Linked DNA regions of Mus musculus. Each later gene encodes a partner of the first gene's protein in a complex. Links are inferred from orthologs where the notes say so. Each region holds a gene or a part of one and is shown on either strand. Other genes may lie near its edges.

The links.
Region 2: Snrpf (region 1) and Snrpe share a complex: the UniProt entries of both Homo sapiens proteins name them as parts of the U7 snRNP complex. The link is inferred for Mus musculus from reciprocal best matches to the Homo sapiens genes SNRPF and SNRPE.
Region 3: Snrpf (region 1) and Snip1 share a complex: the UniProt entries of both Homo sapiens proteins name them as parts of the minor spliceosome. The link is inferred for Mus musculus from reciprocal best matches to the Homo sapiens genes SNRPF and SNIP1.

The regions. Positions count from the first base shown.
Region 1 is NC_000076.6:93,582,344-93,587,006, reverse strand, and holds the end of Snrpf (small nuclear ribonucleoprotein F), read left to right. Parts: intron 1-2,679; exon of another isoform or gene 2,680-2,912; coding exon 2,913-2,977; exon of another isoform or gene 2,978-3,476; coding exon 3,477-3,543; 3' UTR 3,544-3,978; downstream 3,979-4,663. Other genes in the region: Ccdc38 (coiled-coil domain-containing protein 38), read right to left, coding at 4,452-4,565. UniProt on the Homo sapiens protein: Plays a role in pre-mRNA splicing as a core component of the spliceosomal U1, U2, U4 and U5 small nuclear ribonucleoproteins (snRNPs), the building blocks of the spliceosome.
Region 2 is NC_000067.6:133,603,242-133,607,684, reverse strand, and holds the end of Snrpe (small nuclear ribonucleoprotein E), read left to right. Parts: intron 1-1,105; coding exon 1,106-1,184; intron 1,185-3,608; coding exon 3,609-3,664; 3' UTR 3,665-3,814; downstream 3,815-4,443. UniProt on the Homo sapiens protein: Plays a role in pre-mRNA splicing as a core component of the spliceosomal U1, U2, U4 and U5 small nuclear ribonucleoproteins (snRNPs), the building blocks of the spliceosome.
Region 3 is NC_000070.6:125,071,704-125,074,672, forward strand, and holds the end of Snip1 (smad nuclear-interacting protein 1), read left to right. Parts: intron 1-962; coding exon 963-1,227; 3' UTR 1,228-2,340; downstream 2,341-2,969. UniProt on the Homo sapiens protein: Required for pre-mRNA splicing as component of the spliceosome. As a component of the minor spliceosome, involved in the splicing of U12-type introns in pre-mRNAs. Down-regulates NF-kappa-B signaling by competing with RELA for CREBBP/EP300 binding.

The sequences.
Region 1 (4,663 bases):
GACCTCTGTACATGCTGACCAGCAGTCTGCCACTAAGCTACATTCTCAACCTGTTCATTCATTTTGATTTCTAGTTTTTAATTTTATTTTATGGATGTCTTGTCAGTGTACTATGTATATGCCTGCTGCCCATCAAAGTCAGACAAGGGCATCCGTCAGCACTCTAGAACTGCAGTTATGGATGCCGTGGGCACCATGCGGATGCTGGGAATTGAACCCAGGTCTTCTGGAAAAGCTGCCAGTGCTCTTAACCTCTGGCCAACTCTCCAGCCTCAAACAAGCATTTTTCCAAGTCTACTTTTAACTCTTTGGAGTATATACACAAGTCGGATTACTGGTTCGTTGTTTTTGAGTAGATGTCATATTGTTTTTCATAGCAGCTGTGTGGTTTTGATTCCTTCAGATGGTACCCAAGAGTTACAGTTTTCCACATCTGCACTAACACTTGTTTTCTACGAGGTTCCTCTTTTTAATGTATAAATATTATTCTCCTGATCTGAAATAGTATCTCCTCTTGGCTTGCATTTCCCCAATGACATTGGGCACCTTTTCATGTGTGTATTAACCATGTGCTTTCATCTTTGGAGAAATATGTTACTCACATCCTCTATTTATTTATTTACTTGTATTTTTTAAGACAAGGTACTCACATCCTCTATTTATTTATTTACTTGTATTTTTTAAGACAAGGTCTCATTATGTAGCCCTGGCTGGCCTGTATCATGCTATGTAGTCCAGGCTGGCCTAACTCAGAGATCTGCCTGCCTCTGCCTCCTGGGTGGTAGGATTAAAGGCATGTGCCACTTTGTCTGTTTTTAATTTTTTTGTGTGTTTAATTGTAGTTTCTGCCCAGATTTTAAAGGTTACTTAGGTGGATATATTAACTAGAAATCCAGCTAACAAGAATATGGAGAGATTTGGTCTGGAAAATTCTTGAAACGAGTTATTTACAAAAGCTGTAGAAAAGTCTGGAAAGTATGCCTGTAGTGGTGAATATAGTGTGGGATTAGAAATGAGAGTTCAATGTTATGAATACACTGAAAACCCCAGAATGTTTTGTTTCATCCCTGTCACTTGGTGTGATTCTGTGAAAAAAAGCCTGTGATTCTGTCATTCCTGGGATAGAAGCAGGAGGATTAGAAATTAAAACATCATCCCCATTTCACAGGAAGTTGCAGGCCAACCTGGAATACATGAAACCCTGTTGAAACAAATGAACCACCTAATAGTTGATCTTGCAGTTAATGTAGTGTCCCGAGGTATAAAATGTATCTCTGAGCGAGCCCGGTTTCTGAGTTGCTTCAGTTAGCCAAAAGGTATTGGTTGTCTGTTTGGTACCATGAATATAACAGTGAGCAAAACAAAGTCCATATCCTTGAGCTTGTTCCAGTGGTGGGAGATGGTTGTGGACCACAGATGCGTAGGAGTGATCCACAGCATGGCGGTAAAGCAAAACCAGGGTTATGAGTGTGCAGTACTGAACAGCCTCGCCTCCAAAGAGACCTTTGGCATCTGGGACAAAATCATATCTGTTGGAAGGAGCAGCAGATGCAAAGCTTCTGTCCACGGGGATTGGGGGGGGGGTACTAGGGTGTTTGAGGTACAGACAAAAGGCCAGAGTAGAAGGTGGGATGGCAGTCACTGAAAGCCTTTCAACAGTAGTGAGGCTTTTGAATTTAGTAAGCTCTAAACTTTGGGTCATTAGTATAGATACAACTTAGAAGCCATTTAAGTGTTAGGGAAATGTCAAAAATAATTAATCCATGTGTACCATTAATCTCAGCAGTTATGAGCAGAGGCCGGTTAATCTCTGAGCACAAGGCCAGCCTGGTCTACAGAGTGAGTTCTAGGACAGTCAGAGCTACACAGAGAAACCCTTTCTCAAAAACATAAATATCTACATACACACACAATTACATTCCTTCTGATAGGAGTTATATACAAAATCATCTCACAAACATTTGTTCTAGTGACAACATGTTCTCTGGTTGCTTTGTTTTCCTACAGAGAAACAGCTTGCATGTCTTAAATGCTTTATGCCAGCCACATCTACCTATGTCCACTGCCTGCTTATGAAAGACGCTTCCTTCTCTTCTCTTGTTCTGCCTTTGGTGACCCCATATAGCACTGGTGGATATTTTTTTTTTTTAATTGTAAGAATGATAGCTAAAGCCGGGTGTGTTGGCGCACGCCTTTAATCCCAGCACTCGGGAGGCAGTGAGTTCCAGGACAGCGAGGGCTATACAGAGAAACCCTGTCTCGAATCCCCCCCACCCTAACTAACTAAATAATATAACTAAATAATTAGTTTATTTTAGCTGCTGAAATAGCTAAAGATTTTTCATTTAAAATTAGAATAGAATTTGCAAAAGTAACCCTAAAGATCATTCTTGATTTACACACCCCCACCCCTCCACCCCCATCCCCATTGAGTACATGAGATTTTAAAAATCTTAACTTTTTTTGGTTTGGTTGTTGGCTAATATATTTTAGCCATAGCTTTTGTACACCCATTTGAACAAGTTAATATGATTCATAATGTTTTACTCTAAGAAAAGTTAATGTCTGGTTCTTTGGAGCTGAATTTTCAGAAAATTTTAAGAATTATAACTTACTCAAATAAGCTTTCTTCTTTGAGACACTTTAATAGCAGATAGAAATAACATCTAGAAGGCTTAATAACTTTGAAACGAGCTTTATTATCCATGAGTTCTATACCCATGCATGTCTTAATGAATATATGAAATCCAAAGCTACAAGAGTGATGGGAAGATAATCTTAGAGCTACTGTTTATGGATCCAGTGTGAGTTGTTGGTGTGGAGGAGTCTCAGTCACTGGGTCCTCACCGAGTAGGCATGCTGCACTCTTCCCTCCCGTGCAGCTATACTAATACCTTTCTTTTTGTCTAAAGCTTGCAAATACAGAAGAGTACATAGATGGGGCGCTGTCTGGACATCTGGGCGAAGTTCTAATAAGGTAACAGACTTATTTGTGTGTATGAAAGGAGTTCTAACTAACCTCAGAAATACCTGCTGAAATATATTAGTCCTATTAAACATTAAACAGGAAGTACTCTACAACTAGATCTCAGAAGCTTGTGAAATCACTAACATGTTGGAAGATTTCAGTTTATATTTGAGATTTTCCTACTCTTGATTTACATCTCCTGGCTCCAGCTGTAACCTGTATCAGTGTCCTGGGTTACAGGGATTTAAATTTGAATTTTAGTTGAGTCTGGCTGCTAAGGATTTCTGTTGTACTCACTGTCTGGTATCAGCAACTACCTACATTCTAAGTCGTAGAGATGAAGTGTGATGATGGTAAAAATGTGTGGTGTGTCTTTACTACACCTATACAGGACTAACAGGACAAGTGGCAAGCTGTGAGTTCAGTGTCCAGTCTGATGATGGGGCACTGAGGATTGATCTTGTGTGGGTTCTGAGTGCAGCTCACAATGGACTGTTTTCTGTTACAGGTGTAATAATGTCCTCTACATCAGAGGCGTTGAAGAAGAAGAGGAAGATGGGGAAATGAGAGAATAGCATCTTGGATTTTTTTTTTTATATATATATGTATTTCTATACAATAAAGATTTGGGGTTCTTTTTTTTCAACTTGACTTGTGGACTATTTAATGCAAAGCGCAAATGTTGAAACAATGGATGGATAATTCTTAGAACTAAAGTTTTAAAAGCCTCTCAGTTTTATTCAAGGGACTCTTTTTTTTTTTTTGTAATCCCACCGCTGGTTTAACTGAGACCTCATAAAAGCAGCAGTGTTGTTTAAGGTTTCCAAACCACTTGTAACATCCATAAAGTTAAACATTTTCTTAGTATTAATATATATTGTATTAATAAATCATTATTTCTATATTGACATAGACTAAATAATGTATATTATAGCTAAGTCAAAACATGAAAATTGAAATAATTATGGAGATAAAATACAATACAAATTGATATTTAGGCTGAAGATGTATGATTTTGTTCACTTGAAAGTTTTCTGATAAGGTTTTCAGAGCTTAATGTGAAAGAAAACCAGCCCCATGATTGTTCTGAGACCGTAGTCTATTAGTTTTTAAGCTTTAAACCTGTCCAGTTGTTTTAAGAATAATACATTTTAAAAATGTATATTCAAAGCTGTAAACTTCCTTATTGCTTTAGAAAATATTAAAATTCTCATGCTTTGAGGAAGGCCATTCTATTGTTACATCAATAAATTGACTTTGGATACATGTCTCCAACAGGGACAACCTAAAGTAAGTATTGCTTAGCTCATGGCCTGTACTAGTGAACAATAGAGTTGCAGCAGAAAATAGTTGCTGTTCCTAGTCCTGTAAACTTCCAGCTAAAGGTCTGCTGCGGCCCTGGAATTTGCTAGGGCAGTATTGCATCACTGAAAGCCAACATCCACATAAAACATTCGCTAAGAAAGTATCCTCGTGATCCCGTTCAACTAAAAAAGTACTCTTCGTCCTGTGATTTTGATCTTGTATCACTGACTAAAAGGAGCTCTTGTTTGTCTGCAGATTGAGGTTTCGAACGGTAGATAAGTCGTCTTCCCAACTGAAACGAGAAAAAAAAATAATCCTCCTTAGCGTAACGTTTCTTTCAATATGTATGTCAATATTTACTTGAATTTTCACATGAACCAAAGGTTTGAA
Region 2 (4,443 bases), on another chromosome or scaffold:
GGGTTGCTTTGTACATACTCATATGTGTGGATGTATGTGCTAGAGGTATCTTTTATTGCTCTCTGCTTTTTGAGCCTGGAACTCATGGATTTAACAAGACTAGTTGGCCAGCACTAGGTGCGGCTGCAGGCCACTGTGCACTGCATTGTTTGAGTAGGGATCCAAACTCATGACTGCATGTACTTTACCAATTGACATGTCTCCCTAGTACCTACCCTTCCTCCCAAAGCTGCACAGTATTTTGTTATTTTATGTAGATATCAAGAGTGTCTATCAATACTCTCTTAGGAGTTGGTAAACAAGCACAGTAGTTAGTGGGAGTCGTGTTAGTGAGGAACATGGGTGTGCAGTGACAGAAGGCAATTCATGTGTGCACATGCCGAATTGGGTAGTGTCCAGCAGGCATTCCTGGCGAATATTTACCTCTAAGGGATTGAAGTACTTTGGATCTCATTCTAGCTTTCTTTGCTATTTAAAAAGAGGTAGGCTGGGGATGCAGCTCAGTAGTAAACCTCTTGCCTAATGGGTAGAAGTCGGTGCGCTAATCCTCAACACCATCTCTGCCCCCAAAAAGGAATGAAAATGCCCCCACGCATTGGGCATGTCACATATGACCAGGCATGGTGGCACATACCTGTAGTCTCAACACTTGGAATAGAGAGGATAGGAGATTTGTGAGTTTAAGGCTTTCCTTGGCTGTGTGGGAAGTTTAGGGCAAACATAGGCCACATAAGACGCTGTCTCAGAAGTAAGGGGCTCAACAGGTAAAAGTATTTACTATTCTTGCAGAGGACCAAGTTCAGTTCAAAGTATATACCTTTGATGGATCACAACTGCCTGTACTTCTGGCAGGTGGATCTAGTGCCTCTGCCCTCCTTAAGCACCTGTCCTAATGTGCACGCATCGATCCAAAAATAAATACATACAGGTAACACTTTAAAAGAATACAAAGTAGTTAATAAGTAAGTAGAGGCTGTAGGTGTTTGTGTTGAAAAATCAGTGATAGCATAAAATTCTAAAATTTGTTGATATTTCTGAATCTAATTATTCTTTTAGAATGGTCGGATGTGATTTGCTTAAAAATGATTGTCATTTGCCTTCCCAGGGCTTTGATGAGTACATGAACCTCGTATTAGATGATGCAGAAGAGATTCATTCTAAAACAAAGTCAAGAAAACAACTGGGTAAGGAGATAGTTGGCTTTACAGATTTCTGTTTATTTCACTGGCAGACTTGAATGGCCTATAGCTGAAAATTCATGCTATAAAGTTACATTTGAAGGGAGAAGCACACTTCTGAATTCATCTTCCTGCCACTTACTCTGTTACCCACTCCTTTGTTTTGTTCATTGATAGGGTCTCAGGTAGCCCAGGCTACTCTCAGTCTTGCTGAGAGTGACAGATTGAACTCCTGGCCTTCCTGCCTCCCCCTCCCAAGTGCTGGGATCATAGACATTCGCAACCATGCCTTGCCAAGGATGTTAAATCTGATGTCGTTTTTTGTGTTCACTTATATTTAACATTAAGTAGAATTTGACACAGTTCAATACTTCCTTGCAATACTTTGATATCTTGGGTTTGTGACATAGTATGTCAGTTTTTATTCAACTCTGGCTGTTTTTTTTTTTTTTTCCAGACTTCTTTATATTCATCCTTTTTTACCCGGCCATTAAGTATTTGAGGCTGGGTTCCAGCTCGCCCTTCACAGTCTTTCCCTAGGCCAGCAGTTCTCATTCTGTAGGTTATGACCCTTTTGAGAGTTGAACGATATTTCACAGTGGTCTCCTAAGACCATCAGAAAACACAGACATTTACAATATGATTCATAATAGTAGCAGAATTACAGTTATAAATTAGCAATAAAAACAATTTTATTGTTGAGGGTCCGCACAACTTGAGGAACTGTTATTAAGGGGCTGCAGCGCTAGGAAGGTTGAGAGGCTCTGTTCTAGGCTTCTAGTGTTCAGTGAGATCACAGCTCCAGGTACTAATCTGGGCATTGACTTCCTTATTTATGTGTATAGCCCAAACCTCTTCTGAACCTGTTTAACTTTCCACATAGAAGGTTTTTAAGGCAGCCTGTCAGAAGCCAACTTCACTGCCTGCTTACACTGTTCAGCGTGGGTTTGCTGATCACTTCCTAACGGAACAGTAGTTTCCACTAACTTACTAACTTTTGTAGCTCCCTCATCCATTTGAAGTTGCTCTCCAGATGTAGCCATCTTTTTGAAACACTGGGTCTGACCTTACCAGCTTTTGCTTGAAATTTTCCATTGTCTGTTTTTCCTGAGGGGACAGTGTGATGTTTTGGCAAGAGCCTTCTTATCTGGCCTGATGTTCGCTCATCTTGATTCACACTGTCCCATTTTCTGAGCAGTCTCCATGCTTGTCTCCTTTCAGTTTGTTTTTTGTTTTGGAGGGTTTTGGGCTGGATTTTTGTTTTTTGGGGGGAGGGGGGCTGGTTGGTTGGTTTGGGGGTTTCTCTGTAGTCTTGGCTGTCCTGGAACTCTCTGTAGACCAGGCTGGCCTCAAACTCACAGAGCTCACTGCTTCCTGGAGTGCTGGGATTAAAGCTGTGTGCCCCCATTGCCCAGCTCTTCTTTCAATTCCTTAAGCCTGCACATTGGCCTCACTTTCTGTTTGAGGTAGGATCTTCCTGTTTAGCCCAGGCTGGCCTTAACTCTGAGATCCTTGCTTCATTTTCTAAATGGCAGTGTTAACACAATTATCACGCCATGGTTATTACACTTGACTCCATCAAATATTGCTACGTGTATTGTTCACTGATCAAACTTTCTCTAGGAAACCCAAATTTAATTTAGTTTTTCTGGGATGGGAGAACACAAGATGTGATATGTTGACTCTGTAGTGAATCATTTATTTTATCGTTGCCTCTTTGTTAGACTGCATGCTCCCTGAGTGCATGAGTCATGTCCTCTCTGCTTCCAATGACCACCGTAGTGCTTCACATAAACTCAGAAAGCCCAGGGAACAAGAGGACCCATGGTCTCATTAAGAGATACTTTACTGAGGTTAGGTTATCTTTTGTTAGAATAGTCAGTGCTCACGTGCGTTTATTAGTGATGGAGTTCAGGTATCTCTTTCCCAAACCCTACTGACCAAAGCTAGATAGGTGGAAGGTAGATTCTAAGAAATGACTCTGTTTTTATTTGCTTTTGAGGTGCTCTACCTCTATAACCCAGGCTGTCCGATCTTACCTTAGCCTTCCAGTACTGGGACTGCAGGTGTGCACTGTCTCACGCAGCAAGAACTCAGGCTACTGCAGATGGAATTGAAATGTATACTTGACAAACACTCATTTCTAAACCCTCATGAACTTAGTATTGGGAGATGCTGTATTGGGCCTTTTCACTTGACCTAGACTATAGGAACTATGTTTCATTAAAACAGCGCTGTTTCGTTCTGTTACTGAAAGCCCAGTAGACCTGGTGGAAGCCTTCAATATGGACGATTGAAAATGTTCACATAGCGTTATGAGAGAGAGAAGTGCCTCAGTACTATTCAGAGCCAAACTCTGAGGCTGAAAGATAAGTAAATGTCTCTCTCTGATTAGTCACAGCTTTTGTAACACTTTTTTTGTTGTTACAGGTCGGATCATGCTAAAAGGAGATAATATTACTCTGCTCCAAAGTGTTTCCAACTAGCAGTGAATGGTGAAGTCTGTAGGATGTTGAGAAGACCCCTTGAGCGTGTTTAAAGATGTCTGCTGCAACCTGCATTTACTCAACTTGTTTTACTTGCACATTATTATTAGGTGACAATAAATGCTGTAGGAAGTTTTTGTTAAAATTTTACATTGTTTCATTCTGGTGGCAAAATGCTTTTACCTAGGGTCGGTATTTAAGGTTTCTGAGGGCTTCCAGTCCCCCTTGACATTTGCTTTTCTCGGAGCATGGATCTGTACGTTCTTGAGGCAGATTAAGAATTCTGCCTGCACAGGTAAGCTGCTAAGGTTGGTGGAAAAGGCTGGGGGGGAGGGGGTAATTGAAAATAAACAAGTTTTGTTTTTTACTAGTGATGTACTCATCAGTTCTAAGTGCTTGTCTGTCACACGTGAGGCCCTGTTAGATCCCCAGTGTTACAGAACAAAAACCCACCGCTGACTTCTGAGTACTGCGACACCAGCACTTGTAAGTGCAGGAGGTTGCAAACATGCTTGTAGTTCTGTTTGCTTAGCAATTACTGAGACACTGAAGAATTGAGAATCTTATCACTAAGATGAGAATGTGGAAAGCAGGTATGGTGTCCTGTGCCTGTAACCCAGCAGGAGATTGAAGAGGGTGGAGTGAAGGACAAGGTCTGTCCAGGCTAGATAGCAAGAGTGGCTCAAGAGCGGACTAGGAGGGAGGGTAGAGTGAGATACCTTTAAAGTACAAGTCAGATAAATGTAAAAAACTAATAGGAAGCTCTTGGGAATCTTAGT
Region 3 (2,969 bases), on another chromosome or scaffold:
AGGGAGAACTGGCAAGGGAGATGGGTGAATGTCTCACTTAGTATTCCTAAGGCTGGCTGGCTGTGTGGAAATGCTACTGAGCCCATTACCCCTTGTAGCTAATGAGCCGGACTGAAGGAGTACTGTACGTCTTAACAACCTGTGATCTTTGAACATTTGTATGAGGGGCTTGAACTTGGTGTCAGAAATCCAGATATTAGTTCTTCCACTGCATGGTGGTGCAGGCCTGTAATCCGGGCTCTCGGGAGGCTAAGCAGGATTGGTAGTATATCCTCTAAGTGTAGGTTATATACCATGACCCCACCTCTAAATAAATAAATAAATAGATGAAAGGAAGAAAAAGAAAAGATTCCTGCCATGGTCTTGACCTGTTTCCACCTGCCCCTAGGGCTTTATGAGGACCAAATAGAAATAAAAGCCAGAGTCAGAATGCCAGATATACCTATGCTAGCTGAACCTGCTGCTTGGGAATACATCTTTACCGTTTGGTACTTCCCCTGTGAGGAAAGCAGGGCCAATGGTACCATCCTTTAACAGGTGAGAAACCACGGCTCACACAGGCCCTGTTTGCAGTAAGCCATCTTCAGAGCACAACTGTCCACATCTAGTCCTTGGCTCTCAAGTCTTAATTCTGTTTTTTCCTCATTCGGGCTGGTGCTAAAATACATAAAATACAACATTGGAGAAAGTCTATGTGTAACCATAGCAAGAAGCCTTCTGCACTGGGGCCTTATGGCCCTCCATTCCCGGCCACAGCCTCAGCCTACCTTTCTCCTAGGTTATGTAAAGTGCTCTGAATTTCCCCATCAGGGCAGTACTTCCCCGTGACATTCCAGAATTTTCATTTGAATCCTGTTCAAGCCAAGTCATTGCCATTTAGATCTGTAGCATAGAGCTTTAGAAAAGAAGGCAGGTGGTCTCAGGTAGGATGCTCACATGCTTCTCTCCTTGGTCTCTCCTAGGCTTGTGGAGTACACCCGTGCTGACGGCACGGTTGGTCGGAGGGTGAAGCCCTACATTATCGACCTTGGCTCAGGCAATGGAACATTCTTGAACAACAAGCGTATTGAGCCACAGAGATATTATGAACTGAAAGAAAAAGACGTACTTAAATTTGGGTTCAGTAGCAGAGAATATGTCTTGCTTCATGAGTCTTCAGACACCTCTGAACTTGACAGGAAGGAAGATGAAGATGATGAGGAGGAAGAAATGGTATCTGACAGCTAGCAGCTGAGAGGCAGCCTCTACTGTTAGAAACCGTCCCTACCGGAGGCTGTGGTGGTCACTCCAGCGCCTCTTCTTGCCTTAAGTCTTTTCTCTGTTGCTGCCCAGCCTATGTTGCAGTATGAGAACTGTCACTTCATGTTTTCTTGAAGTTGGCACAGCAGCTGCCTGCTTGTGGGCCCTTGTTTTCTGAACAGTCTCACCAATTACAGCATGTCGAGTCTGGTCAGAGCGTGTGGTGGGCACCTTCAGAACTGCTGCATAGCAAACTGCCCTTGGAAAGGGGATGGTGGCTTCTTCTCTTTGTACAGTTTCCTATTTATATAGCTGTTGAGCTTTGTGGACCAGGAGTTTTGTTTTGGGGACAAATCCTAGAGTAGAGAATCTTAGTCAGCTTTGGTTGTCACCAAAACAGCCTCCAGCCTATACCAAAGCTTTGACCTGATTCAGCTCTTGAGTCATAGAAGTTGATTTTGCACTTCGTTTTGGGGGTGACAGTTTACCACGTGACTTCTCTATTGGCTGTCTTCGATAAACAGACACTCTGTGCGATGTCTGTGTGACAAGACTGTAGGGAGGTCGTGGCTTCTACCAACAGGAGCTGCTGTCATACTGTGCACTGGTCTGTAGATCTGCACCCTGAGGATTCCTGATTTCTTCATGAAGCAGACATCATAGTTTGATCATCTGGTCTTTTTCTTTAGCTTTGAATTTTTATTCAAATGTCGCCTCTCTTCTCCCTTTGAGAAACACCACACTGACTTTGTAGGAGGGGCCTTGCTGTGGCCTAGGGATGTGTGTATGTGTCTAAACGAGGTTGTGTAGCTTCCACACTTCCAGTTCATCTTTGACCATGTGTTCATATTTTCCTCCCACGGGTGGAAAGTAAGAGACAGCCGAGTGTCTGAACTTCCCACCTGGGATCTGTGAGTAGAAAGATACTCCTTACTGACAGTCTGTGTGCTTCAGAGCTATGTGCTGGGTTTCATATGTCAGTGTTTTGCGATATAAATAATACCACATGATAGGCAAAGGCCTGTCTGCATTTGGAGAGCAGGTTTTCATTTATATGTATTTTTGAGATTAAAAAAATAAAATTTGTAAATATAGCCTCATTTTAGAGGGTATTACTTTTCTCACATAAATGACTTGTTCATAGGTGTGTTTGCTTCTAAAGGAATCTTTATAAACTGTTCTGAGGTAAAAGTACTGTGTGTGTAGAGAATTGTAGGGAGAGGCCTGAAGTACTGAGGACAGAAATCGCTTATCTCAGCAAGGAGGGCGTGGGGCATGAGCTGTCAGGGAAGGATTTGTGTCAGTGCTCTACATTTGGTGACCACTCTGTCCCCGGGTAGAGATGATAGCAATCCTCCTGGGCTGCTCTTAACTTCCTCCTGGGCTGGGATTTAGGATGCTGCGGAGTAGACTGTCTTGTTTGTACAGTCAGGGTCTCACTTGTTCTCAGGGCTAGAGGCTGGCTAACACAGGAGGGTCAGCTCAGGAACGTGTTAGGAAGAGACTTACACAGTCCCTACGGTGTGCAGGGTCAGCCCAGGAACGTGTTAGGAAGAAAAGCACAGTGTATCTTGGATATTTTTCTTAATTCAGACACCATTTTCTGCCCGAGAATCCACAATAACCTGCTACCCTACTTCAGTGCCTTCTTTCCCAGGGATAGTTTGTGGATTTGCTTTCTCGATGAGCACTGTGCAAGGTGACCACTTTACCTACATTTTTTTTGTAAA